Linked DNA regions of Macaca mulatta. The protein of the gene in region 1 purifies or fractionates together with the protein of each later gene. This does not show direct contact. Links are inferred from orthologs where the notes say so. Each region holds a gene or a part of one and is shown in the gene's direction. Other genes may lie near its edges.

Region 1 (16,363 bases):
ACTGTCCCTCACTTGCCTTTCCCCTGTCAGCTTTGATGTGCCTAATGCCTCCTTGGTGAGCTCATCCCAGCCCAGGTGGTTCTAATAGAAGGCAGTGGGAGGGGGTGTTTGATACCCCGGAAGAGACCCCCGCCTTTCTCTTGCCAGTCTGACCCTCTGATCTGCCTCCATCCAGGTGTCCCTTGGAGGTGCCAAGGAGGCATGCCCCACAGGCCTGTACACACATGGCGGCGAGTGCTGCAAAGCCTGCAACCTGGGCGAAGGTGTGGCCCAGCCTTGTGGAGCCAACCAGACCGTGTGTGAGCCCTGCCTGGACAGTGAGTAGAGGGTGGTGGGTAGCAGGAGGGGAGAAGAATGGGGGTGAGGAGGAGAGGGGTGAAAGGGAGGGGCGCTGGGAGGAGCATGCCCAGTAGAGCCTTATAAGTGGGAAGGGTCCCCTGCCCACCACTGTAAGGTCACCAGAAGTGGGTCTGACCCAGTGTAGGAGGTGTTTCTCCCAGATGCGAGAAGCTGAGAATGGAGAAGGGAAGTGTGCAGAGGGAGGAGGGGAACCCCACAGGGGATCTCCAAGGGGTGCCCATTCCCAGCTCCTGAGAAGGCAGAGGCCTGGTAGAAGAGTGTGGCCGGGCAGGGAGGAATAGCTGATGCTAAGACCAGCTAAAAATATCATCTGCACTGCAAAATCAATGGCTGCCACTTATCCCTGATGTGTTTGGGGGAAGGGAGAGGAGGATCAAATCCTGGCTGCCCTGGAGGCTGACCTTGGGGGATCCTGGGGGTGTGGCTGCTCTCCCCCACAGACCAACTCTTCTCCAGCTTTGACCAGGAAGCAGAGTTTTCCCGAGGCAGCAGGGATAGGGGTCCTGAAGACGTACTTATTGTTGGGTGACAGAGGGGAGGGGAGATGGGGAGCTGTGCCCATTCCTGCCTGGGATCCTTCCTTCCTTCCTTCCTTCCTTCCTTCCTTCCTTCCTTCCTTCCTTCCTTCCTTCCTTCCTTCCTTCCTCCCTCCCTCCCTTCCTTCCCTTTCTTTTTCTTTCTTTCTCTCTCTTTCCTTCCTTCCTCCCTCCCTCCCTCCTTTCTTTCTTTCTTTCTCTCTTTCTTTCTCTTCCTTCCTTCCTTCTTTCCTTTCTTCCTTCCTTCCCTCCCTCCCTCTCTCTTTCTCTCTTTCTCTCTCTCTCTCTCTTTCTCTCTTTCTCTCTCTCTATCTCTCTTTCTCTCTTTCTTTCTTTCTTTCTGGCAGAGTCTTGCTCTGTTGCCCAGGTTGGGAGTGCAATGGCATGATCTCGACTCACTGCAACCTCCACCTTCTGGTTTCAAGTGATTCTCATGCCTCAGCCTCCTGAGTAGGTGGGACTACAGGTGCATGCCACCATGCCTGGTTAATTCTTGTATTTTTAGTAGAGATGGGGTTTTACCATGTGGACCAGGCTGGTCTCAAACTTCTGGCCTCAAGTGATCCACCTGCCTCAGTCTCCCAAAGTGTTGGGATTAGAGGCGTGAGCCACCGAGCTCAACCCTGCCTGGGATTTCTTTCAGGAGGGGAGAGAATCTCATCTTCCAGGGCTGGTGGGTCTGGGCCTCTTAGCCCCAGTCTTGTCCAGGGTCTGAATCCCCTCGTGTTTTGAGTCAGGGGTCTTGGTCCCTGATGGGTGCCCCCAGTCCGCAGTTGCTGCCTTTGGACCATGGGCTCCCTGCCCTTTTCCTGATGACTGCCACTCAGAACCTGCCTTCTACCTGGCACTTGATGCCCACCTGGAGGGCTCAAGGGAACCATACTCAGATTGTTCTTTAATCTGGCTGGGAATAAGGGGATAGAGCTGGGGCCTCTGAATCCACCTGCGGACATAGTATTACCTCTCTGGATGTCCCCCTGAGTCTATCTGTCCTTAAGGCAACCCCAACTCTTGGTGTTCCCCAGACATACTGTTCCCCTTCTCTGTGCTTATGGATCCTGTAACTCCATTCCCCAGCCAAGAGATGCCTGGGCATATGTGTGGAGGTGGGACATCCTCCAATGCCTTTGCCATCTTGCTGTCTGGCCTAACAGGGTTTCCATCCCAGGGCGGGGTGGCCAACCATCAGCTATCCCAGAACCTCCAAATCTCCCTCTCTCGCTTCCTGGACTCCAGCCCAGGGCTCTCCTCCCAGGACCTAAATGATGGGAACCCTTTCCCTTCAGTCAAAAGATCTTCAGCAGGAGGTGGGGTGGAGGACACCAGGAGAGGGAAGTTCCAGAATCTCTGGAAGGGAAGGGAGGCAGGCAGAGAGGTGGCTTTGAGAATCCTCCCTTCCACTTCCTCCCTCCCTTCCCTTTTCCCCTCCTTCCCTGTGTCCCCCTCCTCCACCTCCAGCTGCGTTAACAGGCTGCCTTTACAAGCCCACTTTATGGGATGGAGACCCCAGCGGACTTTCCCTCTATCCTTAAGACGTTTCCACAAGGAAACCTATTAAGCCCCTGCCTTCATTCTCTGCCAAAAAAGACCACATTTTTCACACCACCTAAAACCCTCTCCCAGGAGTTTTCTGCTAATTTTCTGTGTTTTGCCATGAGCAGGGTTCTCCTTTTCCCCTCCTGTGTGACTAGATTTACCCTCTGTCACATGCCAGCCAGCCAGGACCCTCTTGTTTGTACAGATCAGACATCCTGCCTTGGCTGTTTGTGTTTGGACGTTCTTTCTGCTGTCTGACCATATTCCTACCACCAAAGTTCACTGTTCTTATTGCTCCCAACCCCCATGGGGCCCAGTCTTTATAGGATCCCAACTACATGCCAAGACTTTATGGCTGAATTTCATTTATTCCTCACCACAACCCTGTGACTGCAGATATTGCTCCTTATTTTTACAGAGAAAGAAAAAGCTCAGAGACGTTAAGTAAAACACCCGAAGTCACACAGCTGATAAGCGATGGAAGTAGATTTTGAATCCAGATCTGCCTGCTCCTAGGAAAAGGGATACAGGGTTCCTCTGTCAGAACTGACTTGAAACTGAAGTCTCCCTCCAGGCCCTTCTTCCTGGGTCTTTCCTTCTCTCCTCTACCCTTTTCTATTTTCTTCTTCTTCTTTTTTCTTTCTTTTTTTAGACAGTGCCTCACTCTGTCACCCAGGCTAGAGTGCACTAGTGCAATCTTGGCTCACTGTAACCTCTGCCTCCCAAGCTCAAGCAATCCTCCCACCTCAGCTTCCCGAGTAGCTGGGATTACAGGTGTGCACCACCACACCCAGCTAATTTTTGTAGTTTTTGTAGAGATGGGGTTTTGCCATGTTGGCCAGGCTGGTCTTGAACTCCTGGCCTCAAGTGATCTGCCTGCCTTGGCCTCCCAAAGTACTGGGATTACAGGAGTGAGCCACCACGCCCAGGCTCTGTCCGCAATTCTGCCCCTTTCACTTCTCTCTGGCTTTTCCTTCTTTGCCTCCCTATCCCCCCACCACAGCCCCCAAGCCAGTGACCCCTTGCTCCATCTTGTCTCTGACACCTTTGAATAATGTTAAGACCCCACCCCCCAACAGGCCTCAGTTTACCCCAATGGTGCTTTAGCCTTTCTGCTTCTGCTTCCACATTCTGAACAATCTGTCCTTCCCTAGTTCTCAGGTTCCTAAATCTATGTTCTTTCTGTCCTTGGAGCAAGGATAGGTTCTGCCAGATCCAGGTTGGCACAGAGTTCTCCACCCAAGGCTGGAAGGGGTGAAGAAGATCTGGCCCTGCTCCTTCCCCTCCCTGTACAAGGAGGCAAGGACCCTGGCATGTCTGGCCTCCTTCTCCTTATTCTGGAGTGCACATCCACTAATTAAGAAAACATGAGTGAAGAATGAGCTTGGACATTTCCCTTGCATGCTGGCTGAAAGGGCAGAGGACGCATGTGCAGATCTCAAAGGGGTGATCATATACAGTTGTGCAGCTTGTGTACTGCTCAACAATATCCATCTGAGAGACTCAGTGTGGGCTAAGAGCCAGCTCTCTAGCTTCAGTGGCTCCTGCCTTACCTGAACCCTCTTGCCTGCTGGTCCGTCCCCACCCTCAGGAGCCAAGCCCTTCAGCAGCGTGGGGGTAGCGCCACGGGTGGGAAATTCTGCTGTCTAACCCCGGTCACTCTCATTCAGGGTGCATCTGAGCCCACACCTGTGTGAAGAGGAACTGAAGGCAGATGAGGCAGGAGGCTCCCTAGGGGAAGGCCTACCTTGCCTGGACTGGGTTAGCAGCCCAGTTTTGGCCCGCGGGGAGGGCTGGGTGGGAACCACGTTCAGATTATTCGTTAATCATGCTGGAACACCCTACAGGCCTGGGAAGTCTCAAAGAGAATTTGCCAAGAAACTTACTGGCACCAGCTGGGTTATCCGGGAAACCCTCCTGGCCGGCCAGTGCTTCTGGAGGCTGAAGGAAGCGGCTCCGGGCCTCCTTCCCCTTACCCAATTGGCTGCCACCAACTTTCACCAGGCTAGGGGTCAAAGTCCCCTGGAAGAGGGTGGGAGTCGATGAGAAGGCGAAGCTGAAGGAGGAAGTCAGCGTCCTGGCAGGCAGTGGGTGAGGGAGAGACTCCAGGCTCCTGCGTCCCGGGTGCCCAAAGAGCAGACGACTAAATCTGGTGTCCGCTGCGCTCAGGTGTGACGTTCTCCGACGTGGTGAGCGCGACGGAGCCGTGCAAGCCGTGCACTGAGTGCGTGGGGCTTCAGAGCATGTCGGCGCCGTGCGTGGAGGCCGACGACGCCGTGTGCCGCTGTGCCTACGGCTACTACCAGGACGAGACGACCGGGCGCTGCGAGGCGTGCCGCGTGTGCGAGGCGGGCTCGGGCCTCGTATTCTCGTGCCAGGACAAGCAGAACACCGTGTGCGAGGAGTGCCCCGACGGCACGTATTCAGATGAGGCCAACCACGTGGACCCGTGCCTGCCCTGCACCGTGTGCGAGGACACCGAGCGCCAGCTGCGCGAGTGCACACGCTGGGCCGACGCCGAGTGCGAGGGTGAGCGCTGTTAGGGAGCCGGCAGTAGGGGGTGCGGGGGTGGGCTGGGGGCATAAGGAAGGGCTCCCTCTGGAGGTCGACAAAGACCCCGCCTGGCCTGCTGGGGCAGCTTTGTGACCTTAAGGCAGCGTGCACCTTCCCTGAGCTTCAGTCCCTTCCTGGTAACCTGAGGGAGGACGTCGTTCCCGATCCTGTCTCACCAGAGAACCCCTCTCACTGTTTCCTTCTTTTGGCTAAGTGTTTGGAAAGTGGGGGGTTCTCATTGTCCCAGGCCGCGGGTACTACATGTAACTCATCCTCGGGGACTCATTTCTCTGTGACTGCCCGCTAGTGATTAGATGAACAGCAAGCAGCTCGAAGGTGGCCACTACCCCCAGGGCACAGCACAGAACACGAGGGGTCTGATCCATGAGGCAGGCTTTCTGAACTGGAAGAACAGCTGGAGGACCCTCAGGAGCTGGGACCCTTTGACTCTGAGCCCTGGTCTAGGTCCATGGTGGGTTTTGGCTCTGGGACCTGAGATGGAACCCACCCTGTCCTTATCTGACATTAGGGAGTCCACTCCTGTCTCTGGGCCACAGTTTCCTCACTGGTCATATGGTTGCCAGGGTTGTTGCAGGTTAGGGAGCACAGTGGGGCTGGCCCACTTCAGCTTGCCCTGTCTAGGGGAGGGGTCAACCGTGTTTTGCAGTTTAGTGAAGGATGAGGGGCGTGCAGGGAACACCAAGGAGGGGCTCTGTGGAAGAAGGGGGGGCAGACCTGGGGCTCAAAAGCCCGGGGACAAGGGAGTGCATGCTCGTGGCTGTCAGTTCCAGGGGTGAATGGGAGCTGAGTGTGCCCTTAGCTAGGCACAGGCCCAAAGGAGATGGGGTGATTCCAGGGATGGGAGGAGGAAGCCCCATGGGAGCCAGGGCAGAGCTGTTTTGGTCTCTGGTTGGTGACGTCCGTCTCGGGAGACGGGTGGGCTTTTCCACTTCAGGGAGAGGCTGGCAGCGCCTTTACATCCTGCTTATCCTCCTGTGGCCATGCACACATTGAGCTATTTCCCTTTAAGACCTAACCTTCATCCTCAGGTTGCTTTTACCCTGAGCAGGCAATACAGCACCTCCTTCAGTGAGCCCCCAGTTCGATGGGAGAGATAGCCTTCGCCCAGTCTAATGAGAGAGACGTGGTCCCAGCACTTAGTCCCCAGCTGAAGGAGAGACAGCCCTCACTTTAGAAATCCCCCATTCTGATGGAGGCAGCAGAGCTTCTGCCTCAGTCAGCACCTGATCTCCTGCCCCTGGGGACCCTCCAGTCTGATAGGGGCTCCAACATCCCACACCTGCCTTCCAAGTCCTGTGATCTTTGGCTTTAGGAGCTCAGGATGGGGAGGGCTGTTGGGCTAAGGCCAGGTTGAACTCAAAGCTGCCTGCCTTGGAGAAGGAATGAGGAGTAGGAGTAGGATGTGGTAGTTCTGGTGGCAATTGCCCTGGGCCAGGAGACAGGCAAGTGGCATCAGGCACCAGGCAGAGCGCAGGGAGGGTTTCAGCAGCCAGGCGTCAGGGAAGCGGGCAGCACATTTCTGTGGACAAGTCCAGACCAGCCAGCTGCGGGCGGGGTTGGGGGGACTTAGGGGCGCTGCAGAGCAAAGAAAGGTGGTGGCTGCGGGAGGAGCAGGCTTTGTGGTTTGGGGCATTCACAGATTCCTCTCAGATCCCAGCCCACTTTCCCAGCCACCCCAAAGGAGGAGGGTGCTCCTGAGGGAATGTGTTCATCCTGGACCTTGTTCCCCTTTCAGCTTCAGGCTCTGAAGGGTTAAATGTCAGCTCTGGAACGAGGGACCATTTCAGGAAATGGAATTTGATTCTTGGTTTGGGTGCCCCCTCCCCTCCAGCTTACCATACTTTCCCCCCTGCATATAAGTTTCAGGTGTCAACATGGTGACTCACCCACCCTTAGGGCAGAAGGGCTCCCCACTGCCCCAGTGAAATTCGTTTTGCTTAGGGGTAATCTTGTCCCTCCATCCAGCCCGGAAATGGCTGTCAGGACCTGCCAAGGGCTTAGTACGGGGGAATGCTAGTGGACATGGCCACATCTGGATCTCATCCTCCTGCCCTCATCAGAGGGGTTTGGAGAGATGAGGGAAGCTCCCCGAGAGTCAGCGCCGCCTCTGGTCTGGCCATGCCTTGCTACCCTCCCAGCCCTCCACTACTGTGCTCTGATCTCAGTGATGGTCTCATTCACGGGCACACAGACATGCATACTCTTTCAGCCTCTGGCTTGGGGTCAGTCTGAGCTGAGCTGTGTCTCCAACCTCCGGACTTTGGCTGCCCCCCAGCCTGCCCAGTCCCCTGGTAGAGCAAGAGAAGACACTCCCCAGTCCAACGCTCCACCTGGGGCTGCCAGAAGACAGGGCTCCGTCTCCTTCACTCCCTCTGGCCCCTCCCAGGACTGAGACGGGGAAGGGTGGGATGGGTGACAGATCACAGCCCCTCACCGCTGGCAGCCAGATGGATTCTAGATTCACATCTGGGGGCTTTGCCCCTCAGAAGGTGCTGAAAATGGGCCTTTGAAGCATTTTCATCTTGAGTGTAAGAGGCCAGAAGATGGGTGGCAGCTTCCACTCGTGCTTGGGAGTACAGACCCCAAAACCACAGTCCTGTCGGTGCAACCCGTGTGGCCCCTTCACTTCTGACCACACTCCCTGTCCAGAGAGAAGTGCCCCTGCTGCCTCCCTGACCCTGACCCTGCCCCGTCACCATCTCAGGCCGCCTGACCCCTTCTCCCACACTGCTAGGTGGGCCAGCCCCTCCCACCACAGCGGATGTCATATCTGGGGGGCTGACACCAGGGATGGTACTAGGGGGAAGTGACAAGGCCCCAGAGACTCAGAAGGAGGAATCGAGGAACCAGAGTGGGCAGAGCTGGGGGCAAGGTACCCTCCCCTTCACCCCATTGGCATGTCCTGTTCTGCTTTCGCTCCCTGCCCCAGGTGTGGGAAGCGAGGAGGGACGGGGTAGGCAACTTTGCCCAGACAAGTATCCCCAGGCCGTCCAGAGCCCACAACCACTAGCACTGCCCCTAGCTATGTGGCAGAATGGAAAATCCCACCCACTGGTGCCAGGAAGGGCTGGGTCCCCTGCCAGGGAGGCTGGCAATGCCCAGCTAGCATGAGAGGGTCTCGGTGGGTGGCAAGTCACAGTCTCCCCTGGGGCTGAGGCATTGGGCTGGACCTGCCTCATGGGCCCCCTCTCCACTGGCTCTCTGCTTCCTGACCAAGGAGGGCTGGGGCTACCTGACGCTGTCGTCTCTGGGTGGCAGGATCAGGCTAGGTGGGAGCCAGACAAGGCAGGAAACAGAGGCTGGCCACTGTCCCAGGGCTGGCTGGAGGGAGGCAATCCAGCTGCCCCCGCACCACTCCTCTCCACCCAAGCCTAGAGCCCAGGACATGAGGTCAAGAAGTTAGGGAATGCTCTCAAGGAGGTGGTGTGGGGAAAGCACCTCTCTGACCAGACCTGTGTACACTCTTCTTTCCTTAGGACGGGGGTGACTGGGGTCATCTAGGACAAGCTGGGGCCAGAGAGACATTTCCTGGAGTGATTCCAGCTCGAGGCCTCCCTGTGGTCAGGCTTTGTGTGTTTGCTCCCAGACAGGCCTCTCTAGGTACCCTGGGAGGTGGAATAGAATTCCAGGACCATAGCCCCAGATGGAAGGGAGCTTAGAGACCGTCTCTCTTAATAGCCCCATTAGATAGATAAGAAAATCGAGGTTCTGAGAGAAAAAGCGGCTGGGCCAGAGTCACCCAGCAAGTCAGTGGCAAAGCTGAAGGAGATGCAGCTCTGTGGGCCCACAGGCCTTGCTCTTTAGCGTCATGACATCATGCACACAATCCCAGCCCCCACACTGTGCATAACAGCTGGGCACAAGAGCACCCGGAACCAGGGCGGGGACACAGGAAGAACACTGCAGTGGGTTACAGCTAAAAGGGAGGGGCGGGGGAAGTGGGTCCTCACTCCTGTGGCCTTTTCTCCCAGAGATCCCTGGCCGTTGGATTACAAGGTCCACACCCCCCGAAGGCTCTGACAGCACAGCCACCAGCACCCAGGAGCCTGAGGCACCTCCAGAACAAGACCTCATAGCCAGCACGGTGGCAGATGTGGTGACCACAGTGATGGGCAGCTCCCAGCCCGTGGTAACCCGAGGCACCACCGACAACCTCATCCCCGTCTATTGCTCCATCCTGGCTGCTGTGGTGGTGGGCCTTGTGGCCTACATAGCCTTCAAGAGGTAAGAGAGGGCACAGTGGCAACAGAGAGGGGAGATGTTTGCCCTCAAGGAAGACTTTACTGTGACCTTGACCTGAAAACACACACACCCTTTTTTTTTTTTTTCAGTTGGAAAACTTTTTCTTGTACACATACCCTTTTAACTCAACCCCAAACCAAGCTCCTCCTCACTCATCATCCACTGCCCCACTCCAGGGTGCAGCAGGTCAGCAGGAGGTGAGGGGAGAGGATCCCCCCTGTCCTGTCCTGTCCTCTCCTGCCCTGTTCTGGCTCCAGCCCCTCCCACTCCCATGCCGTACCACTCCCTGATTCCCTAGCCCCCAACTGCTTGTGTCTTCATCCCCCAACCTCCTTCACCCCACAGCCACCTGCGTGTGCATACGTCTCTTCCCCTTCCCTTGTCACACTGGGAATGCTGTGGCACCCACATCCAGGAATTCAGGATGTGCACGAACTCCCAGAAGGCGTTTTAAAGCTTTAAATGCATTTTCCATTCTTTCTAAAAAAAAAAAAAAAAAATCATCAAAGTAACACATGCATGTTTAAGAAAATGCAAACAAGACCAATATCTTTCAAAGCAAAAGTAAAAGCCCCCTTTTATCTTCCCAAATCCTACTCCTCTCCTTATTGGAATCTGTTTGAAATGGATCCTTCCCAACTATTTTCTGTGTGTGTTTTTTATAAACATGTATATAAACCTTTTATAATTACATGTAAACATGGAGGGCTTTTTAGGCATCAGTGAGATCACATTGTACATATTCTGTAGCTTACTTTTTTCACTCAGTCTCCCTCAGGAGACCTTTCCTCAGGAATGTAGATTAGCTGATCATTTGTAACCACTCATTCAATAGTATGGATGGATGGTAATTTATTTAGCCAGTCCCCTATTGATGGACATTTGTTTTTTTTTTCCAGGTTTTTGTTATTGCTTATAATTGCAGAGGAAATCCTTGTATGTATCACTGCCCACATGTGGGAGTATTTTAGAAGGGTAGATTGGGAGAAGAGGAGTTCCTGAGCAGTCACTTATTGCTGCACTGCTCATTCCAGGAACATTTACTGAACACTTACAGAGGGCCCCTCATGGAGCTTTCAGGGTAGGTGGGGGGCAGATGTGCAAAGAGGAGCCTTAGATGCTGGGGTGGCGGTTACAGTTGGGCACCCGCCATGCCCCTGGCCCTCGCACGGCAGAGCACAGATACCTCAGCTGCATCCGCCGCTACGGCCCCCGCCCCCTGAGACCTGGCCTGTCCTCTGGCTCCAGGTGGAACAGCTGCAAGCAGAACAAGCAAGGAGCCAACAGCCGGCCAGTGAACCAGACGCCCCCACCAGAGGGAGAAAAACTCCATAGTGACAGTGGCATCTCCGTGGACAGCCAGAGCCTGCATGACCAGCAGTCCCACACGCAGACGGCCTCGGGCCAGGGTGAGCAGGGGCCCCGCTGAGGAGCTGAGTCGGAGCTGAGGCTGAGGAAACAGAAGCGGTTAAGATTAGACTCCAGGAAGGACTGTGGGAGGAGGGGGAGGCAGGGCTGGCTCAGCAGTGCCCCTGTAGATGGATGGAGAGGCTGGCTGAGGGGAATGGGAAGGAGAGGCCCTCTCCAGGGAAAGGACTTGGGAAATGGAGGCTTTTACAAGTTGGAGCATCCAGACTCATCAAGCTAATTGTCCCCCCTGGGGGCTAATTACTGCCCAAAGTAGCTGCAATTAGCCTCCTGCCCTGGACTTCTGGGGAACAAGTAGTTAAGTGTGTACCCTAATTAGTGGCCCATAGCCCAGCTCCGGGACACTTGCTGTAGATGTCTGGAACTGAGAAGCCCTGTCTCCTCCTTTGCCATGATTAATTGCTGGGGGGGAGGAGAGGAGGGATGGGGGTAGGGATTGGGCTGGAGTGACAGGAGGAAGGGACAACGAGTCCCCCCAGGTGCCTTCACTTCCTGGTGTCCCACCCAGGACCTTGGCTTGGCCCTAGGCCTCTCGATGGGGAGGAGCACTGCCACCGCCCACCTTGGGTCTTATCCCAGCACCCACTGTTGGGGAAAGGAGTGCAGGGGTAGGACCTGACTCTCCTCTGGGTTCTCTGCAGCCCTCAAGGGTGATGGAGGCCTCTACAGCAGCCTGCCCCCAGCCAAGCGGGAGGAGGTGGAGAAGCTTCTCAACGGGTCTGCGGGGGACACCTGGCGGCACCTGGCGGGCGAGCTGGGCTACCAGCCCGAGCACATAGACTCCTTTACCCACGAGGCCTGCCCCGTTCGTGCCCTGCTTGCAAGCTGGGCCACCCAGGACAGCGCCACACTGGACGCCCTCCTGGCCGCCCTGCGCCGCATCCAGCGAGCCGACCTCGTGGAGAGTCTGTGCAGTGAGTCCACTGCCACGTCCCCGGTGTGAGCCCAACCAGGGAGTCCCCGCCCCGCCCCACATTCCGACGACCGATGCTCCAGCCAACCCCTGTGGAGCCCGCACCCCCACCCTTTGTGGGGGGCCCACCTGGCAGAACTGAGCTCCTCTGGGCAGGACCTCAGAGTCCAGGCCCCAAAACCACAGCCCTGTCGGTGCAGCCCGTGTGGCCCCTTCACTTCTGACCACACTCCCTGTCCAGAGAGAGAAGTGCCCCTGCTGCCTCCCCCACCCTGCCCCTGCCCCGTCACCATCTCAGGCCACCTGCCCCCTCCTCCCACACTGCAAGGTGGGCCAGCCCCTCCCACCACAGCAGGTGTCATATCTGGGGGACCGACACCAGGGATGGTACTGGGGGAAGTGACAAGGCCCCAGAGACTCAGAGGGAAGAATCGAGGAACCAGAGCCATGGACTCTACACTGTGAACTTGGGGAGCAAGGGTAGCATCCCAGTGGCCTCAACCCTCCCTCAGCCCCTCTCGCCCCCCACCCCAGCCTAAGATGAAGAGGATCAGAGGCCTGTCAGAGCTGGGAGGGGGTTTTGAAGCTCAGCCCACTCCCCTCATTTTGCATATATGTCAATGAGGCCCAGAGAGAGGCCGTGACTCGCCCAAAGCTGCACAGCAATGGGGAGGCCAAGTGCAGGCCGGCACCGTCTTCTCTAAATGAGGGGCCTCAGGTTTGCCTGAGGGCGAGGGGAGGGTGGCAGGTGACTTTCTGAGAAATGGCTTGAAGCCAAGTCAGCTTTGCCTTCCACTGTCTCCAGACCCCCACCCCTTCCCCACTGCCCGCCCACCCGTGGAGATGGGATGCTTGCCCAGGGCCTGGTCCATGATGGAGTCAGGTTTGGGGTTTGTGGAAAGGGTGCTGCTTCCCTCTGCCTGTCCCTGTCAAGCATGCCCGTGTGACAACTGTGGCATGGCTCCAGTCTGCTGCCCTCCATCCGGCAGGCACAGACCCGGAGCTAACACTGGCCCCTAGAATCAGCCTAGGGGTCAGGGACCAAGAACCCCTCACCTTGCAACACACAGACACATGCACACACGCACGCGCACACACATACACACAGGAGGAGAAATCTCACTTTTCTCCATGAGTTCTTTCTCCTGGGCTGAGACCGGATCCTGCCCGGGGCAGCTGCCAGAGAAGCATCGGAGGGAATTGAGGTCTGCTCAGCCGTCTTCACTCGCCCCCGGGTTTGGCGGGCCAAGGACTGCTGAGGCTGGAGCTGGCGTCTGTCTTCAAGGGCTTACACGTGGAGGAATGCTCCCCCATCCTCCCCTTCCTTGCAAGTATGGGGTTGGCTGGGCCCACAAGATTGTCATGAAGAAAAGCGGGCCAGTGTGGGAATGCGGCAAGAAGCAACGACTGTGACCCGTGGGGATTTCTCCCAGCTCTAGACAAGCCTGCAAAGGACTGTTTTTTCCTGAGCTTGGCCAGAAGGGGGCCATGAGGCCTCAGTGGACTTTCAACCCCCTCCCTGGCCTGTTCTGTTTTGCCTGATGTTGGAATGAGTGTGGCTCTCCTCTATTTAGCATGACAAGCCCCAGGCAGGCTGTGCGCTGACAGCCACCCCTCCCCAGCCCAGGGTTCCCCCAGCCCTGTGGAAGGGACTAGGAGCATTGTAGTAAATGGCAATTCTTTGACCTCAATCTGTGATGAGGGGAGGAAACTCACCTGCTGGCCCCTCACCTGGGCACCTGGGGAGTGGGACAGAGTCTGAGTGTATTTATTTTCCTCCCCAGCACGTGGGGAGGGGCTTTGGGGGCTGGCAAGTATGTTTTAGCATGTGTTTGGTTCTGGGGCCCCTTTTTACTCCCCTTGGGCTGAGATGGAACCCTTTTGGCCCCCCAACTGGGGGCCACGAGCTCCAGACCCCCAGCATCCCTCCTGTCATCTCCCCTCCTTGCCTCCTGTGTAATCATTTCTTGGGTCCTCCTGAAACTTACACATAAAACATAAGTGATGAACATTAAATAGCAAAGAAAGAAAAATAGTACAAAGAGATTTTCTGGAAATACACATGGTTTGAATTGTTTGGGGTGGGGTGTGTGCCAGGGACCCAGGTATAATTTCCAATTCGGTCAATTCCTGCCCTCTTTTACCCCACACCAAAAGGGGAAGTTTTAACAGAAAGCCAGTAAGTTCCCATGTGTCACTATGGGGTGGGGTGGGTTGGGGAAGGAGAAGGGGCTCTTTGCTCCCAGATCTTGGAGAGGGAAAGTGAAAATGGCCATGCAGGAAGCTGGCCAGCTGTGAACTTGACCAGATGTCAGAAGTGAAACTGACCACGGGTGAGTCAGAGGCTTCCCAGGAGGGCCAGGTCACAACCCCACAGCTCCCAGCCACCCACATGGCTTGGGAGACACACACACACACACCACAGAGAGAGAGAGAGAGAGATCTGGCTCCAGATGGCCTGGCAGGAGGCATTAGGCAGGCCTGGCCTGGAGTTAGGCAGGCAGGCCCCCTCCCTTGTAGCTCTCATGGGCAGGTCCTAACCCAGGCTCCTGACAGCCTGGCTTCGAGCCCCGCCTGGCCCAGGCCTGGGAGCTCCCACGGCTGCAGGGCTCCTGGCCCCAGGCCTGTGCCTGTCTCTGAGGCTCAGCCTCAGCCCCTGCTGGTGGTTTGGCCGAGTCCAAGACTGGCTTGTGGTCACTGAGGAAGACAAAGGGAGGCTTGCTCTTCAGTAAAAACAGCAAACAAGTCCGCCTGACCTCCAGATCCAGGGAGAAGGGCCAGCCAGGCCCAGTCAGAGTCAGACAAGGTTGGAGGGGAGGTCCCCTGTCTTCCATTCCCCTCCTGCGCCCCCAGACTGTGAGGGGCGAAAGGAAGATGGAAGGTGTTGCGGGAGGAATTCAGAGTAGGTAAGAGAAATAATCCTGGTACTTGGAAAATCAGTGTGATGGAAAAGACAATCTCTGTCTTGAGCGAGGCTCCCATCTGATGAAGGAGACAGTCCCAGAATTGAGGATATTCTAACCTGATGAAGGAGGCACACCTCCTGTCCTAAGGGTGCCCCCATGCTGATGGGGAAATATACTCTTTGACCTAAGAGTGGCTTTCCACTCTGCCCAGTCTCTTGTCTGGTGGGGGAAAACCAGATGCTGTCCTGTGAAATAAGGAGAACTCAAATCCCTGCCTTCACCAGCCTTACATTCTTGAGCGAGCTAGAGCAGACAGGCCCTATGTGGTGTGTACTGCTATAACAGTGGGGGATCCTAAGCAAGACCCACCCATACCAGGGGTCAGGGAAGGTTTGCCAGATAAGGTATAGGAAGCTGAGTCTTTAAGGATGAGTGGAGTTGGCCAGGCGCGGTGGCTCATGCCTGTAATCCCAGCACTTTGGGAGGCCGAGACGGGCGGATCACGAGGTCAGGAGATCGAGACCATCCTGGCTAACATGGTGAAACCCTGTCTCTACCAAAAATACAAAAAATTAGCCAGGCGTGGTGGTGGGCACCTGTAGTCTCAGCTACTCGGGAGGCTGAGGCAGGAGAATGACGTGAACCTAGGAGGCAGAGCTTGCAGTAAGCCTAGATCGCGCCACTGCACTCTGGCCTGGGAGACAGAGCCAGTCTCTGTCTTTAAAAAAAAAAAAAAAAAAAAAGGATGAGTGGAGTTAACATGAGGGGTCAGGGGGAGAGTGCTTCTGGCAGAAGAACCGGCTCAGCAAAGGCCCTGGCGGGCACCAGCACAAAACACACAGGGCCTGGAGAGGCTCTGGGGCCTGGAGCCCAGAGAGTGAGTAGGAAGGTAATCAGTGGGGCCCCATGGGGGAGAGCTTGTGAAGAGACACACTAGGCGGTCCAGACTATATTCTTGGAACACTGGGGAGCCACTGGGGTGTTTTCAGTATAGAAGTGCCATAGACAGACTTGTACTTTCTTATTGATTATTTTTTATTTTTTAAAATTTGAGACAGAGTCTTGCTCTGTCACCCAGGCTGGAGTGCAGCAGTGTAATCTCAGCTTACTGCAGCCTCAACTTCCCTGGCTCAAGTGATGCTCCCACCTCAGCTTCCAGAGTAGCTGGGACAACAGGCACACGCCACCACACCCGGCTAATTACTTTGTATGTTTCGTGCAGATGGGGTTTCGCCATGTTGCCTCGGCTGCTTTTGAACTCCTGAGCTCAAGCCATCCTCCTGCCTTGGCCTCCCAAAGTACTGGGATTACAGGTGTGAGCCACCACACCCAGCCCAGACTTGTACTCAGAAAGCACTAGCTCTAGCTGCAGAGCGGAGGGTGCTGGGTGGAGCAGGGTGGGCTGAGAGGTGGGAGTCAGTGGTGGCCTGAAGTCAAGGAGGAAGCATAGGGGTGGTGAGAAGAGGGGCTTTTAAAGAGCTCCTCAGGCCGGGCGCGGTGGCTCAAGCCTGTAATCCCAGCACTTTGGGAGGCCGAGGCGGGTGGATCACGAGGTCAGGAGATCGAGACTATCCTGGCTAACATGGTGAAACCCCGTCTCTACTAAAAAAAATACAAAAAACTAGCCGGGCGTGGTGGCGGGCGCCTGTAGTCTCAGCTACTTGGGAGGCTGAGGCGGGAGAATGGCGTGAACCCGGGAGGCGGAGCTTGCAGTGAGCCAAGATCACGCCACTGCACTCCAGCCTGGGAGACACAGCGAGACTCCGTCTCAAATAAATAAATAAATAAATAAATAAAAATAAAGAGCTCCTCAGAGCAAGGGGCATGCAGTGGTGGGCAGGGAAGTGACTGACACCGTCCAGGGGCTC
Region 2 (16,617 bases), on another chromosome or scaffold:
CCCCAACATGTATCTTTTCTAAGAAAGTGATAATCATAAGTACAGCACTTTTAGTGAGTTCTGTTAGTCAATATAGCAAATTATTAAATCTACTAGGGTCACGGGAATCTCCATATAGGTAGTTAGTCGGAAGTGTGGGTGTCCTGAGGACCCCTGAAGTACAGCTGGCATCAGAAGAACAATCTTGGTCCAGGCACGGTGGCTCATGCCTGCAATCCCAGCACTTTGGGAGGCCGAGGTGGGCAGATCATGTGGTCAGGAGATCGAGACCATCCTGGCTAACACGGTGAAACCCCATCTCTACTAAAAATACAAAAAGTTAGCTGGGCATGGTGGCAGGCACCTGTAGTCCCAGCTACTCGGGAGGCTGAGGCAGAAGAATGGCGTGAACCCGGGAGGTGAAGCTTGCAGTGAGCTGACATCATGCCACTGCACTTCAACCTGGGGGACAGAGCAAGTCTCCATCTCCAAAAAAAAAAAAAAAAAAGAAGAAGAAGAACAATCTTGTTGCTTGTTGGGGGTCACACACTTCAGCTTGTAGGATCTGCACTAAATTGTGTAATTACTGCAATATTTGAATTATGGCACACCCAGTTGGACCATAATTCAACGAAGTAGAAGGTGACACAATAAACCTAAAGCAGAATGGAGCTCAGTTATTTCCCTAATTGACACATTAGTAATAACAGGGGGGCATATAAGGCCATGATTATAAAAATCATTTCACATAATTTTATGTAATTATAAAAATTAACCTCTGACAACATGAGCAGGTGGAAGCAACTAAGAAGTCTGATGCAACTGGGAATGATGGGATCCCATCTTAATGAACCTAAGAGCCTTCCATATTCCAAAAGCTGGTACCTAAATGCACGTTCCTGACTTTTCAATGGATAAGTGGGATTTGAGGCTATTTTTCATGAGACTCCAGAATATAGCCACCTGAACTTAACAATATTGAAACAGCAAACATCCTTCCTCTTGAGACCAACCTATTGTGGATCAATATGACTGTGGTCTACCAGTAACCAGGAAGTTAGGAGAAACGCTAGAATTGGACCTTATTTAGCAGTCTTTGCCAGCCTCATTGACTCTGAATGTGAAAGACCCTGTGGTTGCTTAGAAATCCCACAGTACTCTATGCCATTTGTGAAGATGGGTAGAGATTGGAGTTATTTTGCTACCAGCCAAGGAACGCCAAAAGTCTCTAGAAGGCAGGAAGGGCAGGAACAGATTATCCCTTAAAGCCTTTGGTAGGAGCATGGCCAAACCAACACCTTGATTTAAAACTTCCAGCTGCCAAATCTACAAGAGAATAAACTTCTGTTATTTTATGCCACCCAATTTGTGGTGATTTTTTATGGCAGCCTTAGGAGACAAATAAGGAAGAAATGTTTTAATTTCAGAAAACGTACTGTTTTCAGTGTGCAAAATAAACTGCAAGTGAATAAACTAGTGAGAAGGCACAGAGGATGTCCTCAGTGGTGAACCAAGGGTGAAAGAGCAGTGGAATACAGTCATGGATGACAGTGAGTGGAATATAGTCATGGATGGCAGTGAATGGCTTATAGAAGGTGAGAATTATGTGATTACCTAGATATGAAGGATACAAGAGAATCAATGGCATCCTTTTTCTTCCTCGAGACCCTGGGTGGACAGCTATGCCATGTACTGTGAGGCAGGGAACACACTGGCAGCAGAAGGTTTCAGGCAGATACTGAGGAAGTAGAGTAAAATGTTGAATTTATAACTCAGGCTGGGCATGGTGGCTCATGCCTGTAATCCCAGCAATTTAGGAGTCTGAGACAGGTGGATTACTTGGGCCCAGGAGTTCAAGACAAGCCTGGCAAACATGGCAAAAACCCATCTCTAAAATTACGAAAATTTAGCCAAGTGCGGTGGCACACACCTGTAGTCCTGCTACTCAGGAGGCTGAGGTGGGAAAATAACCTGAGCCTGGGGAGTTGAGGCTGCAGTGAGCTGAGATTACACCACTGCGCTAAAGTCTGGGCAACCAGAGTGAGACTCTGTCTCAAAAAATAAAATAAAATAAAATAAAACTTGGCCGGGCGCGGTGGCTCAAGCCTATAATCCCAGCACTTTGGGAGGCCGAGACCGGCGGATCACTAGGTCAGGAGATCGAGACCATCCTGGCTAACATGGTGAAACCCCGTCTCTACTAAAAAAATACAAAAAACTAGCCGGGCGTGGTGGCGGGCGCCTGTAGTCCCAGCTACTCGGGAGGCTGAGGCAGGAGAATGGTGTGAACCCGGGAGGCGGAGCTTGCAGTGAGCTGAGATCCGGCCACTGCACTCCAGCCTGGGCGACAGAGCGAGACTCCATCTCAAAAAAAAAAAAAACAAAAACAAAAAAAACCTCAAAGGCACAATGTTAAGATGACCTTTAGGCAGCTGGATATCCAGTTATAGAACATGAAAGAGACATCTGGCCGGGCGCGGTGGCTCAAGCCTGTAATCCCATCACTTTGGGAGGCCGAGATGGGCGGATCACGAGGTCAGGAGATCGAGACCATCCTGGCTAACACGGTGAAACCCCGTCTCTACTAAAAAAAATACAAAAAACTAGCCGGGCGAGGTGGCGGGCGCCTGTAGTCCCAGCTACTCCGGAGGCTGAGGCAGGAGAATGGCGTAAATCCGGGAGGCGGAGCTTGCAGTGAGCCGAGATCCGGCCACTGCACTCCAGCCTGGGCGACAGAGCGAGACTCCGCCTCAAAAAAAAAAAAAAAAAGAGACATCTTAGTCTGGAGAAATGAATTTTGGACTCATTTGTGTATAGATGTAAAATTCAAGCTCTGGGAGATGGTGTTGCTCAGAACACAAGGTGACAGGAACAGAAGAGGTGAGACAGGACCACTAGAAACTTCAACTTTTAGATAATGGCTGGAGAAAGATATTTTAAAAGATCTGAAAAGGCGAAGAGAGTTCTCAGCGATCCCTGAAGTCTATGGTGTACCCTGAGGACTCAGGGCTATCTGGAAGAACAGCCATGGCATGGGTGGTGCGTGTGCGTTTGTGTGTGTGTGTGTGTGTGTGGTATGTATTTGCACGTGTGTGTTCCCAATATAGTTAAGAAACCCAAGGCTGCTTGGTAGATAAATCTATCATTAAAAGGATAACATGAAAAACTGCAAACATCACGACACACATAAATTTGACAAATTAGATTAAATGGCCAGACACGGTTTGCATTTGTGTTCCTGCCCAAATCTCACGTCGAATTGTGATCCCCCATGTTGCAGGAGGGGCTTGGTGGGAGGTGATTGGGTCCTGGGTTGGGGGGGTACTTCCCCCTTGCTGTTCTCATGATAGTGAGTGAGTTCTCACGAGATCTGGCTGTTCAGATGTGTGTGGCACCTTCTTCTTGGCTTTCCTCCTCCTGCTCTGGTTATGTAAGATGTGCTTTCTTCCCCTTTGCCTTCCACCATGATTATAAGTTCCCTGAGGCCTCCTCAGTCATGTTTCCTGTACAGCTTGCAGAACCATGATCCAATTAAACCACTTTTCTTTAGAAATTCCCCAGTCTCAGGTAGCTCTTTATAGTAATTCGAGAATGGACTAATACATGAGCCAACTCCCTAAGACCACAAATACCAAAATCCATCCATTATGAAAAGATCATCTGAATAGGCTTACAATTAAAACAAATAGTTACAAACCATCTGAAACCATCATTCAGGCACTGATGGTTTCACTGAAAATGTCTACCAAACATTTGAAGAAGAAATAAAGACAATTCTACACAATTTATTCCATAAAGCTGAAGAGAAGGAGGGACCAGTATTTTCATGAGGCTCTCAAGTCAAAACCAGATACAGATATCGCAGAAAGAGAAAACTATAGACCAATATCTCTGGTGAGCATATAAATAAAAACCCTCAGCTAAATATTACCAAATTAAATCCACTGACATGTAAAAGGAGTAATACAGCACAAACTGGAACCCAACATCCACTTGAATAGAGTTTATCTTAGAGAAGAGTGTTTAAGATGAGGCAAGTGATTTTAATATGTACCAGAAATAGCTCCAACTGGGATGGTCATAGGAGAGTCTGGAAAGAGGCTTAAATCACCTTGGCCTATTGCTACGCCTGTCTCTCCTCACTCCTCTCTGCTTGTTATTTTCTGTGGTTCTCAACTGGGGACTGCACTGCCCATAAAAGGACTTTTGGTGGTGTGTGGGGATGGTGTCTTTTCTCTTTTCTCCACTTTCCTGTTGGTTTTCTCATGTCTGGAGGGCATGTATGTGTGCATGTGAAGGGAGACAGCCTCTGTGGTGTGTGCTATGTTCTCAGACAATGAAACATTACGCCATCCTCATATCATCAAAGAGCCCTGCTCTAGACACTCTCAGGGTGATGTGATTTATCTTCTTTAACTTCCAAACTTCTCTTTCCAGCACAGGCGTTTTTGCTGAGTTGTGTCACTCCAGATATCTGCTGGGTATGACCGTTCAGTCTTCCCAGAATCTTTTGGTCCTTCTCTCCACATGGTTTCAGGAAACAGCACCTGCATTTCCTAGCTGCAGTCCTGCTCGATTGGCTGCCGGAGACAGAATCCTGGATGTGCCCGTTACTCACAGTCTCCCCTCACCTTCCATTGCTACTTATATCTTCACTGGCCTTTCTATTGAACCTCAGCTCCCTCTGTCCCCCTCTCGGTGATAATATTGCTGTTCCTTCACGATATGCATCATGACATATGATTATCTGATCAGGCATTTGCTTTCTCTTTTAAGGCTCTTTATCTCCACCACTTCGCCTCACTACAGATTACAGAGACCATGTCTCTTCTCGTTGTATCCCCAGGCACAAGGCCTGACATGTAATGTAATGTTGGTAAACAGTTGACGAATGAAGATGAAATGCAAGCCATCGCCCATCACATGGATTCCTGGGAAGGGGCCCCTAAGGACTCTCTGCCTCTGCTTGTCCAGCTGACCCAAACTCTAACCTTACTCTGTACGCAGGTGACCTTTCAGAAGACACCCTAGTCTCTTTAACTATCTGAGAGAGCTGCTCCTTGGGGCTGGGCAGGACTGAAAGGTCTCCCATTTCAGGGAATGCGATGGACCGCGAATGGATGAGCATGAGCAGTGGCCCCCTAGGGAGGCTGGGGATGAGAGGCCAGGGGCCGGTCCCTCCCAAGTTTGTAAAGCAGCACTGCCTGTCCTCACTTCTTAATGTTTTCTAACAAAAACAGGGGCCCAGCTGCAATGGGTTTTTCCCTCAGACTGAGCTACTTTTCTGAAATGCAAATATTTCAGGCACATGACAGGTATTGCTCAATATTTACTGAACACATTAAAGTGAATTCTCTGCTTAAGATCCTTGGCCTGAAAGGCATTTGGGGCCCGTTTAGGGGCTCCAAGGTGGAGGCTGCTGCGTATGTGGACAGGGAAGAGCCAGAAGATTCACATTTCATCCAGGGCCTCTGGGTCCCTGCACTGCGAGCATGCGCACTGCCCACTAGAGGCTCTGGGGTAACCCCCCTTTCTCTGTTCACTATGGAAACCAAGGCTGGGACTGGCCTCTCCTCCTGTTCCTGGGTCTGCCAAGAACAGCCTATTCCACAGCTGTGTAATCTGTTCCACATTACAGAGTTCGAAGTAACCCACCAGCAAAACTGTCTGCTCCAGAATATTTTAAGTTACAGCTTCTCCATATATATTCTGTATCTATTCACAGAACTTCTATTTACAGAATTTTGATTTAATGAGTAGTTGAGATATATTTTTGTAGTCTTCACACTTTTCCGCTAAGCTGCTGGCCCTGAGAGGACTTATTGCCCATCTCAAATAGGGGTTCCCCTGGAGACACCCAGCAAGATGTATTTATCCCATGACCCTCAGGACAGCATTAGAGCTCCGCCCCAGGTCTTGAGCCTTGGGTCAAGGTAGTTGTGGATGCCTCCCAAGTACTAGCTTCCTCTCATTTCTCACAGTGTCTTTGGTCCTTTCTGTTATTACTCTGAAGGTCAGAATCTCTGGCTCATGGGCACATACTTTATTAGGAAGCCATCAAGCTACTGACCCATCTATCTCATTGCACATGTGCATGCCTGCTTTCCCCACTTACAGGCTATCCCAGGCTTTATTTTGTTCCACTACCCCACCTACCCAAACTCCTACTCCCATTAATTTGATTTTGGCGGGGGGGCGGGGATTGAACCTCTTCATTCCTCAGGAGGAAGATGATACCATTTTAGTAGATGTACAGTTGGGCTCCAAGATCTAGCCTGTGCTTCGTTTTAGACTCATGCATCACACCCAAGGCTTTAAGCCTTCCGAGTGTAATCTCTCAGGGTGGTCTCCATCGACAGGCCCAGGTACAGCACTGGACAACCCTTCTGCCAGAAGCGCAGTGTGTTGTGTGCCGCGGGAGAGCCTTTCTGCACAGTCTGTTGATGCTGGCAACTTCACTAGAACGAAGTCCAGGTAGAAGCTCCATTATCCAGTCCTGCCCAGGCAGCAACTGAAATCCAAGCAGCTCTCTGGCCAAAGCACTGACACTCACTTCAGCAGAGCCACCTTTTATTGTTGTCATGCCCTAAAGCTTGTACTTTAGTTTCAAGAATCCATTACATCTCGGAGGGTGAAATGTGAGAATGTAGTTTGAATGAGATCACAATGTTAAAAACCATAGCCTACGGCCAAAGCTAAGTTGAGATTTAAATAGTAGGTTCAAACACTTTTATTATTAAAAAAATGTCAAACGAACTAAATATTTTTTTCTTTATGTATTTAATTTTTGAGACAGTCTTGCTCTGTTGCCCCGGCTGGAGTGCAGTGGCATGCTCTCAGCTGACTGCAAATTCCACCTCCCAGGTTCAAGTGAGTCTCCTGCCTCAGCCTCCCAAGTAGCTGGGATTAAGGGCATCTGTCATCACACCCGGCTAATTTTTGTATTTTTAGTAGAGACAGGGTTTTGCCATGTTGTCCAGGCTGGTCTCGACCTCCTGACTTCAGGCGATCTGCCCGCCTCGCTTTCCCAAAGTCCTGGGATTACAGGCGTGAGCCACCGCACCTGGCCTAAATATTTTATTTAAATAGTTAGAAAATAATACATACCCAAATAAAATAAAGAAGAATATTGATGGAGATTTAAATGCAATAAATGAGGATTATATTTAAGAAGCATGGGGGCAATAAGTCTGTTCAAGAGACATTTTTTTTTTTTTTTTTTTTTTTTTTGAGACGGAGTCTCGCTCTGTCGCCCAGGCTGGAGTGCAGTGGCCGGATCTCAGCTCACTGCAAGCTCCGCCTCCCGGGTTTATGCCATTCTCCTGCCTCAGCCTCCCGAGTAGCTAGGACTACAGGCACCCGCCACCTCGCCCAGCTAGTTTTTTTGTACTATTTAGTAGAGACGGGGTTTCACCGTGTTTGCCAGGATGGTCTCGATCTCCTGACCTTGTGATCGGCCCGTCTCGGCCTCCCAAAGTGCTGGGATTACAAAACAATGAATTAGCATATTTCTGTAAGATGCTCCCAAGAAAGTGGTAAATATCCATAAATAGAGGAAGGAGAAGGAGAAGTAGACGGAGAGAAGAAGGACGAGGTGGAGGAGGAAGAGGAGAAGGAGAAAAGTGTTGAAATAATTCCAACTAAGACTGATATCTAGGAATTACCCTGGTGAAGTGGGAAGCTAAAGAGCCTGTTGGAAGGACTGGTGTGGGAATGGCTCTGCCAAAAGTGTTATGTGCATGCAAACCCAAAGAGAGAGAGCACAGAAAACCCTTCAACATCAACCTGCTTGAGGAAAAATAAAGTGACAAGTGGGAAAAGATACATACTCACAGCGAGGACTCTAGACATGTTAAGACAATTTTTAAATGTGCTTTTGGCTTCGAGTGGCAATAATTAGACTCAACATATTTAAGAAGCTACTGATGAGAAGAAACGCTGGAAGCGCTGAAGGACCACATCAGCCCAGACCAAGGATGCTGAAGCAGCATCAAGGCCCTTGGTTTCAGAGGCTCCACCAATGACCCTTTTTTCAGGGAGACCCTGTAGGAGCGAGTTTTGTCTTTGCCCAGTGGGAATCTGTCTTCTATACTTAGAAAACAGGGTTACCCATGTTGCCCCTGCTACCCTTGGGTCATCTCAGAGACACTACCAGATATTACCTATGAGACCTAGTTGTTTTTTTTTAAATCTCAGGAAGGACTTGGGTGTGGCTTCCAACGTGGAGGACTCAGTAGCTTCAGAGAGGGTCCTGGGAGAAGGTGAATCGGAGAATAAGGGTGCTGGGCAGAGGGAAAAAGACATTATTATACAAGTTTGTGCTAAAAGATATAGCAATCCTTCTGCTGTGGACTAAGTATGGAAAAAAATAAAATGGAATCAAAGTGACCCAAAGGAAATGTAAAACTCAAATTTATGCCCACTAAAGCATTAATGATGCTCTAAGTCCGCTGCCTACTTAAAAGGTTCATAGTTCACATGGGTTGACAGGAAATTACGTTAAGGACACGCTGCATTTCTCCTTTTCTTACAACCCCTCTGATTTGGTAGGGAGGGAGTCAATCATTTTTTTATTGGAATTTCTCAGGATTCCAACTTCAGACATACACTTTACACATTTTCTTGGACAAGCCCGACTGTTCCTCTCACTCGTTCGCATAAAGCTCAAGTTTACACAGCCGCCCAGACCTTTCTCTGGGACGCTCATATTTAACTTAATTCTGGATATATCAGGTAAGCGTTTCCCAAGAAACTTGACCCCAACATCCCAAAAACTTAAGTTATCATCTTTCTCCTAAACTGGCCCCTTCTCCAGTACGCATCCATCGCACTCTTCTCCTGCCCTAGATCCCCTCAGCCCAAACGGGAAACCCCGGGATCGCTCTCTCCGCAGGTGAAGCTTAGCCAGGGACCCTCCCCGTCGGGGCTCCGCGCTGCCCCGCCCGCCCCCAGCCGCTGGCCAAGGCCGCAGTCGCGCAGGCGCAGTGCCGCGTCCCGCCGCCGCCCCGCCCTGCCCGCCGCTGCGGAAGGCGCCGCGCACAGCAACGCGCACTTCCTCTCCAGGAATCCGCGGAGGGAGCGCAGGCTTGAAGAGCTCCTGGACGCAGAGGCCCTGCCCTTGCCAGACGGCGCAGATATGTCAGAACAAAGTAAGGATCTAAGCGACCCTAACTTTGCAGCCGAGGCCCCCAGCTCCGAGGTGCACAGCAGCCCTGGGGTTCCGGAGGGGGTTCCTCCGTCCGAGACCCTGGCAGAGCCGCAGAGCCCTCCTTTAGGCCCGACGGCCGCCCCGCAGGCCGCGCAGCCTCCCCAGGCCCCGAGCGACGAGGACGACCCGAAGGCCCTGCAGCAGGCCGCGGAGGAGGGCCGCGCCCACCAGGCCCCGAGCGCGGCCCAGCCCGGCCCGGCCCCGCCAGCCCCGGCGCAGCTGGTGCAGAAGGCGCACGAGCTCATGTGGTACGTGCTGGTCAAGGACCAGAAGAAGATGATCATCTGGTTTCCAGACATGGTGAAAGATGTCATCGGCAGCTACAAGAAGTGGTGCAGGAGCATCCTCCGGCGCACCAGCCTCATCCTCGCCCGGGTGTTCGGGCTGCACCTGAGGCTAACCAGCCTGCACACCATGGAGTTTGCGCTGGTCAAAGCGCTGGAGCCCGAGGAGCTGGACAGGGTGGCGCTGAGCAACCGCATGCCCATGACAGGTCTCCTCCTCATGATCCTGAGCCTCATCTACGTGAAGGGCCGCGGCGCCAGAGAGAGCGCGGTCTGGAACGTGCTCCGCATCCTGGGGCTGCGGCCCTGGAAGAAGCACTCCACCTTCGGGGACGTGCGGAAGCTCATCACTGAGGAGTTCGTCCAGCAGAATTACCTGAAGTACCAGCGCGTCCCGTACGTGGAGCCGCCCGAGTACGAGTTCTTCTGGGGCTCCCGGGCCAGCCGCGAAATCACCAAGCTGCAAATCATGGAGTTCCTGGCCAGGGTCTTTAAGAAAGACCCCCAGGCCTGGCCCTCCCGATACAGAGAGGCTCTGGAGGAGGCCAGAGCTCTGCGGGAGGCTAATCCCGCTGCCCACTGCCCTCGCAGCAGTGTCTCCGAGGACTAGCCAAGTCTGGAGGCAGATGAATGCTTTCTGATCCTCACCAGGGCTGTGGAAGGGTGGGGGTGGGTCATTAGAGTGTTCAGGATTTACAGTGCAGTATTCACGTGTAACTTTTACGTTTTCAGTACAGTGCTTTTATACCTTTAATGCAATGTTGTGTTCATTTGGGTACTATTGTGTAGTATTTAGGATGTATGCATGTTTGTTTATATGTAAGCTTGGTTGGTGCTTTCGCTTTTGTGGTACCTTTCTTGGATTTTTGTATCAGAGACGTGCTAAACTGATGAAGTACATTGAGAACGTTTCCATCTTATTAATTTACATGGGACTGAGATGTGTGTTGGGGTAGACTGCTCCTGCAGAGTTTGGAAAAACTCACCAGCAAAGCCGGCCTAACCAAGAAATGTCAAGGCCCTCATGACCTTGCTGGGGACTGAAAACATCCTCGTGGAGTAAACTAATTTGAACTGGACTGGTCTCAATGTGAGAGCACTTGGCACACTTTACTAAACACATATACAACCCCACCGTGAGTCAACTTTAAAGTAAACATTAAAGATTCTTGTGATACAATCATTTCTGGAAGTGTACGTTATCATTTTAACAAAGCAGTATGGTTGGGAATGAGACAATTCTCTGTTTTACAGTATACACAGATATAACTATTTCCCCTAATGGGGTGGGAAAAATCGCTACTCATGATTACTCCTAAATTTGTGAAGTTTGTAGTTTTGTCTTTAACTCATGTTTATTTCAAAAACATGCACAAATATAGAAAAGCATAAAAAACAAAACAGTAAGATTGTCCATAATCACATCCTATGGGAATAAAAACCAAAAATAATTTCCTTCCCTTAAGTTTCTACATTTTATCAAAATTAATAGATGCTTTGTGGGCACTTAAAGAGTGAGACATTGTACATGAGCCCTGACGTGTATTTTTCTCCTTTTATCTAATCCTCACAACAGGCCTGTCAGGCAGGCAAGAACTGCCTCTGCACCATGGAGGAAACACAGGAATAATGTAGGTAATGGACTTTCCATAGCTCATACAGGTTAATAAGAGAAGGCGCTAGGACTAGAACTCACAATGAATCCAGAGTCCACATTTGTCCCCACCTGCCTTCAACTCCCCTACACCCTGTGGTTTTTAGGTTATTTATTTTTAACTTTATATTGAAATTTCATGTGGGAGCCCACACTCACATGGGTTCATGGGCCACACATACAAAAAGGCTAGGAATTTTATTTTTCTAATTCTTAGGATATTTTGGAGAAAGCAATATCATTCTGATTCTGCAAATTAAGAAACTTACTTTTGGAGAGATTAATTAACCTAATAAAGTGATATTCCTGTTGAGCAGTGAAGCTGGGATTGGAAACAATCTTTCCTGAGGGTTGGAGGTGAAGGTGCTTTCTCTGACAAACACACAAGACACCTAAGAGAGGGAGGTGGGTTGCCCATCAGGATGTCTCGGGCCTCGCAGCCCTTGAGTTGCGGTGAGCCACTAGGTAATCCTCAGAGGATGGGATGGGCTGCAAGTGGGCTTTAGGGGCAATGCCTGAAGGAAAATCTCATTGTGAATTTTTAGTCCTGCAAGGGGTAAGGGGGACAAAAGGGGCTTTAATAAGAACAGAAGTCCTTTAAACTACAAAAGAGTGGGAAAGACCATTTGGCCAAAGCCAGAAACTTTTCTGTGGAAGACTAATAATGAAGAGGACACGTGTCACATAACACCTCAAAGAAGTAAACTGGGAGTCCTATTAGGGTGAGGGAATTATAATTTGGATTGGGAGCTGGAATTCCCAACACTTACTGGCATTACTTAACAGGTGGGGGCGGGTGCTGGAAATGCTGAAGCCCCTGTTCGTGCTGAGATGAAATCCATCCCAGTTTAAAAGCTTCTGGTGAAGTCTTTCAAGGGGGTTCTGTGGGGAAAGGGGGACATTTCTGCAATCACCCAGGCAGGAGTGACCTGGCTTTGATGGCACCTCTTACACAAAACCAATGTGAACGTCTCACCTCTTCAAAAGTGTTAGGATTGTTTAGAAATCTTACCTCCCCACAACCCATCAAAAAGTTTCTCCAGAATCAAAATAAATCTGCCCCTTATCATTTAAAATTGTGGGGATATCCAGGATGTTTCGTTTCTGGAGTAGGACTATGGGCTGTTGTTCCTGCCACACACAGTGCTGGTCATTTTCTCTAATGCCTTAATACTCCCCTCACTGCTGGATTGATGCCTTGCAGGAGCTGTAACCCCTGTGGACTTCTTGCAGTCAAGCCCAGAAATCACTAGGCAAACAGTCCCTTTACATCCCCATTTAACTCCTTGTTTTGTGTCCACTTTCCCTCTCTGCTGTGAGAGGCACGGAGAACCACCCTTTCCAAAGCTGTCCCAAGTTCATTCACACAAGCACCCTAGCCAGGCCATAGAAGACCTAGCCTTTACAGGAGAAACAGAATGTCAGAATGTGAGAAAGGAGTAAGGCATGGGGCAGAGCGACTCTTCCCCGATGCTGCCTAGGAGGCAGCCAGACCTAGAGAAAGAGGCTTCCAGATGTAAAATGAGTTTACTTCATGACACCTGATCCTGCAGAGATAGCAGCTTTGGGCACGGGGAGGGAGCACCCAGCAGCTCCCTTGGATTTTCATGCTGGGCTCTACATGGAAAGACTGGAGAGTTGGTCAAACATTTACCAAAAGATTCACCTACAAGGTCCGGGGATGGGTCAGTGGGGAAGGGGTCAGCAGGTCCTCAGTGTTGCAGTCCAACATGACAGTGTGCTGAAGCCCAGACTGCTGTGGGTGGGAGAGGCTCTCCTAACTCCCCATAACATGTGAACTTCTACCTGCCAGCTAGAACCTCATTTCTTCACAAACACCTGCAAACATATTTCAATTTGTTAATTTCATTTTATGAAAGACATGAAGGGAAAAGGGATCTTTGCAAATTTAATATAAAATATAAAGACACCTAGTATAAGCTGTCCTGAGAGGAAATAAATAACTGTAAGCAGTATCATTATTAAATAGAAATGTTTTAAGTGAAATTCTTATGCAGTTAAATATTTCCTGTGCTTGAAAACCCTTTTAGGTCCTTCTCCAACTTGAGTCTTACCTGACCAACTCATGAACACTACTTACTGGGAGAACGCTCTCCCTAACCTCTAAGCACAGCCATGTTCTCAATGCACTCAAAATACACATACTGGTTATAATTATGTGCCTTTTATTTCTCTCCTCCTGGATTGTTACATACTTAAGGGTTAGAGTTGTCTGTATCCTGTTCATTGTTTCCTTGATACTTGATGTAAGGATGGGCCATAATGGATGCATTTGATAAATATTTGTTATATAAGTGAAGTAACTCAAAATATTCGAAAAGACCTACCCATCCACATGAGAAAACAAAACCATATGTGGCCGACAACAATTAGCCAATATAAAGGGCGCGGTGGTTCACGCCTGTAAACCCAGCACTTTGAGAGGCCGAGGCAGGTGGATCATGAGGTCAGGAGATGAGACCATCCTGGCTAACACGGTGAAACCCCGTCTCTACTAAAAATACAAAAAAATTAGCCAGGCGTGGTGGCTGGAACCTGTAGTCCCAGCTACTCGGGAGGCTGAGGCAGGAGAATGGTGTGAGCCCAGGAGGTGGAGCTTGCAGTGAGCCGAGATCGCACCACTGCACTCCAGCCTGGACGACAGAGCGAGACAACCCCATCTCAAAAAATAAATGAGATGGAGGACGACTCCATCTCAAAAAATAAAAATAAAAATAATAATAATAATAATAATAATAATAATAATAATAAAGTAGAGGTAATGTAGGATAGGCGCGCAGTGGCTCATGTCTGTAATCTCACCACTTTGGGAGGCCGAGATGAGTGGATCACTTTTTTTTTTAGAAAAACTACTAGGTACTGGATTATTTTGTTAGAGTGTTTGTAGCAATGATTTTTGAAACAAGTTTTTGCCTCCATTGTTTTTCTGCCTTCTTTTTTTTTTCTTTAGCTAATTTATACCTATCTACATTACCTCTGCTTTACTTTTTTTTTTTTTTGGCAGAGTCTCATTCTCTCGCCCAGGCTGGAGTGCAGTGGCACAGTCTCGGCTCATTGCAAGCTCCGCCTCCCAGGTTCACGCCATTCTCCTGCCTCAGCCTCCTGAGTAGCTGGGACAACAGGTGCCAGCCACCATGCCTGGCTAGTTTTTTGTATTTTTAGTAGAGACGGGGTTTCACCGTGTTAGCCAGGATGGTCTCGATCTCCTGACCTCGTGATCTGCCCGCCTCAGCCTCCCAAATTGCTGGGTTTACAGGCGTGAGCCACCGCACCTGGCCAGAAGCCATCATTCTAAGCAAACTATCACAAGGACAGAAAACCAAACACCGCATGTTCTCACTCACAGGTGGGAGTTGAAGAACAAGAACACATGGACACAGGGTGGGGAACATCACACACTGAGGCCTGTGGCGGGTGGGGGTAGGGGCGGGATAGCATTAGGAGAAATACCTAATGTAAATGATGAGTTGATAGGTGCAGCAAACCAACATTGCACATGTATGCCTATGTAACAAACCTGCACGTTGTGCACATTTGTCCTATAAAGTATATATTTTTTAAAAAAGCAAAAAAGAAACAACTTATTACTAGATAAATGGGCCAAGGACACAGAGAGGTCAGTGCCTTAATAGTAAACACAAAATGAAAAACAAATACAATCTCACTAATTAAGTAAAGATACTTTGTCTATATGAATTGATCAAATATATAATAAAAATGAATATCCTGTACTAGCAAGAGTGAATTGAAATTGGCATCCTTGGACCCTGCTATAGTTGTATAAATTACTACACGCTATTTTATGCATTCATTCAGAGTGCGTACTGAGTGCCTAATATGCTGCAGATGCAGGGCTAGGAGGTAGGGATGCAAGAGTGAACAGAATAGACATTGTCCTGTGCTTGCTGAGCATTCACTGAATTGAAAGAAGCAGGTGAATAAAAATAATTACACTTCAGTGCAGTGAGTGCCATCCTAGGAGAAGTGTGGGGCCTAAAGAGGCACAAACAGGTGCACACGACTCAGACTGCCCTAGAGAGGTGAGGCATAAATTGATTCAATAGGATGAGAAGCAATTAACAACGTGAAAGCGGTGTGCGGAGGGGTGAAGTCGGGAGGAGGCTCTCTTTGTGTCTTGGGCTCTGCTGTGTGACCACACACACAAGCATATGGGGCTGCACAACGAGTTTCTCAAAATAAATAGAGTAAAAAGGAGAAGGGAAATAAATTTCAGAATTGACTAGAGGCTAGGTAAAAAAAAAAAAAAAAAAAAAAAAAAAAAAAAAAAAAAACGCATGCTGGCTGAAGACACAGTCAATTTCCTCAAAGATGTGACAAAGAAGAGGGCTGATATGAATCGCATGAAAGGCTAACAGATTTAGAAGAAGCCATGCTGAAGCATAGCCTTCTTTTGAACAGACACCTTTGTTTTTTTATTGCTGCTGTTGTTGTCTGCTTTGAGGGGTCTAAAACATCCCTCCTTATCTCTTTATTTGTCCAATTATTCTTTGGTTCAGCTACTCAGGGTTTGGAGCTCTTAACTATATTACATATTTTCCCATATCTAAACAGTTTCATGTCTGTTCTATTAGCCCACCAACTTTATACTAAAAAATCTTACAGATTCCTGTTTGCTGTATAAATTATTTTGTTTATGTATTTATTCAATAGAGATTTCTTGAACTTCAACGATATGGCTGACTTGTGCTAGGGACTGGTACAATTTGGTGAATTAAACAAGATGGCTCTTGGCCTCAAGTAGTTTATTTATAAACCTTTTTTTTTTTTTTTTGAGAGGGAGTCTCACTCTGTTACCCAGGCTGGAATGCAGTGGTGCCATTTTGGCTCACTGCAAGCTCTGCCTCCTGGGTTCATGCCATTCTCCTGCCTCAGTCTCCTGAGTAGCTGGGACCACAGGTGCCCACCACCATGCCCAGCTAAATTTTTTGTATTTTTAGTAGAGATAGGGTTTCACCGTGTTAGCCAGGATGGTCTCGATCTCCTGACCTCGTGATCCGCCCGCCTGGGCCTACCAAAGTGCTGGGATTACAGGCGTGAGCCACCACGCTTGGCCTATTTATAAACTTTGCATTGATAGAGCACAACAAAAAGGTACAAACGAAACTTCAAATACAAATTATATGATTGGATAAGATACATGAAAAAAATGGGCCAGGCACAGTGGCTCACACCTGTAATCCTAACACTTTAGGAGGCCAACATGTAAGAATTGTTTGAGGCTAGGAGTTCAAGCCCAACCTGGGCAACATAGCAAGACCTCTCATCTCTACAAAAAAAGTTTCATTTAAATAAATGACTTGGTTAAATTGATAGAGAATGGTTGAGAAGACAAACTAGGGCAGGAAGCCCAAGAAATAATTTTCTGAAAAGGGGAAATTTAAGCTGATAATTAATTGAAGGATAACAAGAGAGTTAGCAAAGATCAAAGGGGAGATCAAGATAAATCCAGG

What was found.
Region 2: the proteins of NGFR (region 1) and NDN purify together in Homo sapiens (affinity purification with western blotting; 3 studies listed by BioGRID). This does not show direct contact. The link is inferred for Macaca mulatta from reciprocal best matches to the Homo sapiens genes NGFR and NDN.

The regions. Positions count from the first base shown.
Region 1 is NC_133421.1:60,493,132-60,509,494, reverse strand, and holds the end of NGFR (tumor necrosis factor receptor superfamily member 16), read left to right. Parts: intron 1-175; coding exon 176-317; intron 318-4,601; coding exon 4,602-4,961; intron 4,962-8,977; coding exon 8,978-9,230; intron 9,231-10,496; coding exon 10,497-10,657; intron 10,658-11,317; coding exon 11,318-11,619; 3' UTR 11,620-13,622; downstream 13,623-16,363. UniProt on the Homo sapiens protein: Low affinity receptor which can bind to NGF, BDNF, NTF3, and NTF4. Forms a heterodimeric receptor with SORCS2 that binds the precursor forms of NGF, BDNF and NTF3 with high affinity, and has much lower affinity for mature NGF and BDNF.
Region 2 is NC_133412.1:6,256,800-6,273,416, forward strand, and holds NDN (necdin), read left to right. Parts: upstream 1-9,001; 5' UTR 9,002-9,115; coding exon 9,116-10,081; 3' UTR 10,082-10,922; downstream 10,923-16,617. UniProt on the Homo sapiens protein: Growth suppressor that facilitates the entry of the cell into cell cycle arrest.